2 linked regions of the Macaca mulatta genome follow. Each later gene encodes a partner of the first gene's protein in a complex. Links are inferred from orthologs where the notes say so. Each region holds a gene or a part of one and is shown in the gene's direction. Other genes may lie near its edges.

Region 1 (3,570 bases):
AACCTGAGGCCTAGAGTATGGGATGGCAGAGGCCTGGCAGCACACCGCCCTCGCAGTGGGGCTCCTGGGCAATGCAGAACAGGATACTGGATGCTGGAGCGGCACTGCACAGACTGTAAGCACTGAGAGGGCAGACACCATGTCTGCTGGATCACCACTGAGTCCTCACAGCCTGGCACAATGCTAGGCACGTAACAGCTCTCAGCAAAAATGTTTTGTTTTGTTTTGTTTTGTTTTGAGATGGAGTCTCGCTCTGTTGCCCAGCATGGAGTACAGTGGTGTGATCTCGGCTCACTGCAGCCTCCGCCTCCTGGGTTCAAGCAATTCTCCTGCCTCAGCCTCCTAAGTAGCTGGGATTACAGGTGCATGCCGCCATGCCTGGCTAATTTTTGTATTTTTAATAGAGATGGGGTTTTGCCATGTTGGCCACGCAGGTCTCGAACTGCTGACCTCCGGTGATCTGCCCACCTTGGCCTCCCAAAGTGTAGGAATTATAGGGGTGAGCCACCACGCCTGCCCACAAAATGTTTTGATTATGTGAATGAGTGATAAAAATTAGCCATCGTTCAAGCATATTTGTGAATAAGGCTAGCTTTAAATCCGATTTTTAAAACACAGAGAAGAGGACTCAAGTCAGTGTTTATATGCCTATCCTCGTCAGCAGACACTCATCCAAGGGAACACTGTTATGAGCCTCACTTAATCCCGGGCCAGCCTCGTCGCGGTGGTGCCGTCTACACCATTAGAGAACCCCACGGACACCACACAGAGAGGGAGAGGAGCAGTTCCTCTGGGAAAAGAGGGTGCTGGGCATATAGCAGCAAACAACGTCCACGTGGCCTCACAGCAGAAGGTGGTATTCAAACCAGGGGTTCCTACCTTAACACCCTAGAGCAATGACAACACTCATTTGGAAAAAGTGCTTCTATGTGGTTATCTCAATAAATTCTTGCATCTATTCGCTGAGGGAGGCAGGACAAGCATCGTCACCCCCATTTTCAGATAAGGAAATGCTACGTTTTCTGTGTTACAGAAGCAGAAGCTGTACGAGCCAGTGGTGATCCCTGTGGGCAGGCTGTTTCGACCAAATGAGAGACAAGTGGCTCAGCTGGCCAAGAAGGATTACCTAGGCAAGGCGACGGTAGGTGTCCCCTGAGTCTCCTGTGGCCTGGGCCATGTGGAGCAAGGTGGGAGGGACTCTTGAGAAGAGGGCAGCCTCCTTGTGGCTCTGTCCCTGGGATGGCAACAAGAGACTTGTTTATAGGACAGAGGTTTGGCTGAAAGATAGGCAACCACTTCTAGTTTATTTTCTCCAGGCTGCTCCCATTCCTCCCTTCCAGCTTGACCCTGGGTGAGAGCCATAGGGTTCCCCACAGGATGCTGAGTCTTGGGGACTGAGCCAGTGGAGGGAAAACACAGCCATGAGGAGCTCACTAAATGTGAAGAGAAGGCCAGGCAGGGTGGCTCATGCCTGTAATCCTAGCGCTTTGGGAGGCTGAAGTGGGAGGATCACTTGTGGCCAGGAGTTTGAGACCAGCCTAGCTAGTGGAGAGGCTGTGAGGCGAAAGGGTCACTTGAGCCCAGGAGTTCAAGGCTACAGTGAACTATGATTGCACCACTGTACTCTAGCCTGGGCAACAGAGTGAGACTCTGTTTCTAAATAATAAAAACAAATATGGAAAGAATATGTTGGGGAAAGAGATCAGCATGGGTTCCTCTTGGATTAATGCTCCTTGTAGTTCACGTGTTAGTGGGCTGAGGAGTGTTTCCCTACTTCCACAGCCCTGTGTTTAGACTATGTCTTAAATTGCACTTCTTCTAAATCCAGGTCTTGGCCGGGCGTCGTGGCTCACGCCTGTAATCCCAGCACTTTGGGAGGCCGAGGCAGGTGAATCATGAGGTCAGGAGTTCAAGACTAGGCTGGTCAACATGGTGATACCCCGTCTCTACTAAAAATACAAAATTAGCCAGGTGCTGCGGTGCATGCCTGTAGTCCCAGCTACTTGGGAGGCTGAGGCAGGAGAATCGCTTGAACCTGGAAGGCGGAGGCTGCAGTGAGCCGAGATTGCGCCACTGCACTCCAGCCTGGGCAACAGAGCATGACTCTGTCTCAAAACAAAACAAAACAAAACAAAAAACAAAAAAGGGTAATTTGACGTTACACAAATTGCACCTCAATAAAAACATTTGTTTTTAGAGAGGAGAAAGCAAGCCTCTGTTAGCAGGGGTTGGGTGAATACTCGTTTCCTCAGTTGCTGAAATCCTAATCCAGAGGATCAGGAATCTAATCCTCAGTTACTGTCCACGTCTGAAACCAGGCTCAAGTGAGAACCGGTCTAGGGCATGAGCAAGGAGGGAGAGCCAGAAGAATGGAAACCGTGCTGGCAGAGCCTCACACCCTCCTGTCCTTGATTTCAGGTTGTGGCGTCTGTAGTGGATCATGACAGTTTCTCTGGGTTTGCCCCTCTGCAACCACAGGTGAGGCAATCCTGACCTTCTCCATGGACCTAGGTCTCAAGAGCTTTCTGTGAAGCATTCGATTCGAGAGACTATGTGTGCTGAGCTGCCTTATTGAAAGGGCTCCTTCAAGTGGCCCTCAGTGCAGCTGAGGGATCTGCCTGCCCTCTCTCAGTCCTGGGTTCCATGGCTGGTAAGGAAATAAGGCAGTGTCAGGCTTCACCCCAAGTCCTCTGAAGCTAACTCTCCTGCCTCCCCACAAATGCCAGTCTTCACGTCTCTAAAGAGATCTGCTGATACTCTCTCTGAAGCCTCAACCATTCTCTCAGGAAGGTGAAACACAAGTTATGGAAGGCTTGTTAACAAAGCCTCTTCTTGAGTACGGGGCAAGTGGGGAACCCTGTGGGGCCTGGGTCTGAGGTTTGGGCTCTCCTGGCTCTACCCATCTGCTCATGTGCAGGCGTTTCCTTCGGGAACACAGGCAGGGCGCTGAGAGTGAACCTTTTTCTGTCCAAACTGGGCTTGGAGAGGTGGGCTCAGATGAACTGGATGACAGTGGATCTAGAAATGCAGACAGAGATTCCTTGCGAAGGGAAGAGGGGAAAACGCATTGAGGAAAATAGGAACTCTGTGGCAATGAAACTGTGATGGTGAAGAGCATTGGTCAGCACCAGCAGAGGGCGGGTTTTCTGAGCAGGGGCAGGTATGTTCCAGATCTAGATTCCTTGATCTCTTTCTTCACAATAAAGCTGATGAAAGCCTTGCTGAAGTCCCTTGAGCTTCAGTTCAGCCAGAGGCCATGAAGGGAACGCAGCCCAGGTCACTGGATCCCTTGGTATTCAGTGTAGAACAGGGGAGGAGATTCTTGCCCAGTCAGTGGAATCCTGTGTCAATTTTAAATACTCAGAAGTGGCCAGGCGCAGTGGCTCATGCCTGTAATCCCATCATTTTTGGGAGGTTGAGGTGAGCAGATCACTTGAGGCCAGGAATTCCAGACCAGTCTGGCCAACATGGTGAAACTCCCATCCCTACTAAAAATACAAAAATTAGCAGGGTGTGGTGGCACATGCCTGTAATTCCAGCAACATGGGATGCTGAGGCAGGAGAATCACT
Region 2 (3,570 bases), on another chromosome or scaffold:
TTTCAGTTATTTAAATTGGTTATAGGAATTTGCTACTTAAGTACATGATTGGGTTTTTTATTCTTTTGAGACAGGGGTCTCACCCTGTTGTCCAGGCTGGAGTGTGGTGGTGACATCGGAGCTCACTGTAGCCTTGAGCTCCTGGGCTCAAACAGTTCTCCTGCAGTTCTCCTGCCTCCGTTCCTGTGTTGCTGGGACAGTAAACGTGCGCCGCTGTGCCTGGCTAATCTTTAAAAATTTTTTGTAGCGCTGGTTTTGTACACCCTGGCTGGTCTCAAACTCCTGGGCTGAAGTGATCCTTCCACTTCAGCCTCCCAAAGTGCTGGGATTATGGGTGTGAGCCACTGCGCCTGAGCCATCAGCAGTTTATTTTTATTTATTTATTTTTGAGATGGAGTCTTGCACTGTCACCCAGGCTGGAGTGCAGTGGCACGATCTTGGCTCACTGCAACCTCCACCTCCCGGTTCAAGCGATTCTCCTGTCTCAGCCTCCTGAGTAGCTGGGATTACAGGCGCCCGCCACCACACCTGGCTAATTTTTGTACTTTTAGTAGAGACGGGGTTTCACCATGTTTCCCAGACTGGTCTCAAACCGCTGGCCTCAAGTGACCCACCCACCTCAAACTCCCAAAGTGCTGGGATTTCAGATGTGAGCCACTGTGCCTGGCCTAATATGTGGATTTTTAAAGCTTCAGGTTCTGGTTCAGAAGTTTCCTGGACCTCATTAAAATAATGAGGCACTCAGAATTGGTCTAATAAAACTAACCACCATTTCTTTCTACTCCAGTCTCTTTCACAAACTTCTTAGTGAAAATGACGAGACAGGCCCTTCAGTAGGGACATTTTCAGTGGGGATAATGGCGGCAGACCTGAGACCTTGGGCTAGGTAGTTTATTCTCGTTTCTGAACAGATGATGAATTTTCTCAGATGACCCTAAGAACTTGTTTTACCAAAAACAAAGTGGTTTATTTGCTTTGGGAGGAACTCTCTTCCCTTCCGCCTCTTCCCTTGCGGTTGTAGAGCCCATTCTCTCTGGTCGTGGTTCTGTCCGGCCATGATCCAGAGTCCTAGCTTGCTCATGGAACACCTGAGATGTTTCTTATGGCTCAAGGCTCAGATTGAAGGTGGGAACCACATGAAGGCTCGGTGGGGAGGCTGTGCCTGAGGTTAGGTGTCTGGCACAAGTGCCGCCGGCTGGGTGTGATTTAGGTGAAGGGCGTCTGTAAAGGAGCACATCACAACCTCTGTTCCTTCTTCACATCTAGTGGTATCCTGAGGTGCGGCACCACTGTCCCAACACTCCCATCATCCTAGTGGGAACTAAACTTGATCTTAGGGATGATAAAGACACGATCGAGAAACTGAAGGAGAAGAAGCTGACTCCCATCACCTATCCACAGGGTCTAGCCATGGCTAAGGAGATTGGTATGGAATCCTGCGTTTTTCCTCTGCCTTGTACCTCTTTTATTGTAGTGACAGAGACTGGAGTCCAGTCTGGGAAAGGAGGGTGTGTGTCTCCCACTCAGGGCCTGGTTGTACTCTTGGGGAACCAGCTGGCATCGCCTTCTGGGTCTTAATGTCAGCGTTGGAAGGTGGACGCAGGGCTGGGAGCCGGCAGAAAGTGCCCAGGCCCCCGGAGCTGCCTCCCGCCGGTGTTGTGATCAGAAGAGAGTGGGCTCAAGTGTACACTGCTGTGTGGTTGTGTTTTCCTGTAGGTGCTGTGAAATACCTGGAGTGCTCGGCGCTCACACAGCGAGGCCTCAAGACAGTGTTTGACGAAGCGATCCGAGCAGTCCTCTGCCCACCTCCCGTGAAGAAGAGGAAGAGAAAATGCCTGCTGTTGTAAACGTCTGAGCCCCTCGTTCTTGGTCCTGTCCCTTGGAACCTTTGTACGCTTTGCTCAAAAAAAAAAAAAAAAACGGTGGAGCCTTCGCACTCAATGCCAACTTTTTGTTACAGATTGATTTTTCCATAAAACCATTTTGAACCAATCAGTAATTTGAAGGTTTTTGTTTGTTCTAAATGTAAGAGTTCAGACTCACATTCTATTAAAATTTAGCCCTAAAATGACAAACCTTCTTAAAGCCTTATTTTTCAAAAGCCCACCCTATTCTTGCTCAGATTAAGAGTTGCCAAAATACCTTCTGAACTACACTGCATTGTTGTGCTAAGAACACCAAGCACTAAACTGTGTAAGGACCTTCGTCTTTGAGAAGACTGTAGCCTCTGCAGTTAGGAGATGCAGACACTTGCTCAGTAGTTCTCAGATGTGTAAAGCAGAACAGCCTCCCGAATGGTGCGTTGCCATTGAACTCACCAGTGATTTAGCGGCCCATGTTCACGACATAACATTGTACTGTAATGGAGTGAGTGTAACAGCTCAGCTCTTTGGATCAGTCTTTTTGATTTCATAGTGAGTTTTCTGACCAGCTCTTGCGGAGATTTTGAACAGAACTCGTGTTTCCTCTAATGAAGAATTCTGTTTAGCTGTGGGTGTGCCGGGTGGGGTGTGTGTGATCAAAGGACAAAGACAGTATTTTGACAAAATACGAAGTGGAGATTTACACTACATTGTACAAGGAACAAAAGTGTCACGGGTAAAAACTCTAAAAGGTTAATTTCTGTCAAATGCAGTAGATGATGAAAGAAAGGTTGGTATTATCAGGAAATGTTCTTAAGCTTTTCCTTTCTCTTACACCTGCCATCCCTCCCCAAATTGGGCATTTAATTCATCTTTAAACTGGTCGTTCCCTTAGTCGCTAACTTAGTAAGTGCTTTTCTTATAGGACCCCTTCTTACTGAGCAATATGCCTCCTTGTATTATAAAATCTTTCTGATAATGCATTAGAAGGTTTTTTTGTAGATGAGTAAAAGTGCTTTCCATGTTACTTTATTCAAAGCTAATAAGTGCTTTCCTTAGTTTTCTAGTAACTAGGTGTAAAAATCATGTGTTGCAGCTTTATAGTTTTTAAAATATTTTAGATAATTCTTAAACTATGAACCTTCTTAACATCACTGTCTTGCCAGATTACTGACACTGTCACTTGACCAATACTGACCCTCTTTACCTCGCCCACGCAGACACACGCCTCCTGTAGTCGCTTTGCCTAATGATGTTCCTTTGGGTCTGTGAGGTTCTGTAAACTGTGCTAGTGCTGACAATGTTCTGTACAACTTAACTCACCGGCAAGAATACAACGCGGAACCTTTCAGCCACGACAACAGGATTTTTTAAATTGACAGTTGCAGAATTGTGGAGTGTTTTTACATTGATCTTTTGCTAATGCAGTTAGCATTATGTTTTGCATGTATGACTTAATAAATCCTTGAATCATACAACTGGTAATACTGGTGTTTTTGAGACTTGATGAACAAGTTCCTGGTGTGCGTTTGTTTGCCTCGCTTTAAAGTCCCGGGTTGTTGGAGACAGTCATTTTCAATGCATGTCTCCACACAGGAGGGACAGAGGGAGTGCCACCTCCAGGGGAGAACTGGGTGAGCCCAAACAATACGGCAGGAGTGGAGGTGACGTTCACGTTTGGACCTGTCGAACAGCGGCGAAGCTCTGG

The links. Proteins that work in one complex are often made in the same cells at the same time.
Region 2: NCF2 (region 1) and RAC1 share a complex: the UniProt entries of both Homo sapiens proteins name them as parts of the phagocyte NADPH oxidase complex. The link is inferred for Macaca mulatta from reciprocal best matches to the Homo sapiens genes NCF2 and RAC1.

Annotation. Positions count from the first base shown.
Region 1 is NC_133406.1:41,052,865-41,056,434, reverse strand, and holds part of NCF2 (neutrophil cytosol factor 2), read left to right. Parts: intron 1-1,033; coding exon 1,034-1,141; intron 1,142-2,418; coding exon 2,419-2,478; intron 2,479-3,570. UniProt on the Homo sapiens protein: Subunit of the phagocyte NADPH oxidase complex that mediates the transfer of electrons from cytosolic NADPH to O2 to produce the superoxide anion (O2(-)).
Region 2 is NC_133408.1:44,608,858-44,612,427, reverse strand, and holds the end of RAC1 (ras-related C3 botulinum toxin substrate 1), read left to right. Parts: intron 1-1,266; coding exon 1,267-1,426; intron 1,427-1,716; coding exon 1,717-1,847; 3' UTR 1,848-3,337; downstream 3,338-3,570. UniProt on the Homo sapiens protein: Plasma membrane-associated small GTPase which cycles between active GTP-bound and inactive GDP-bound states.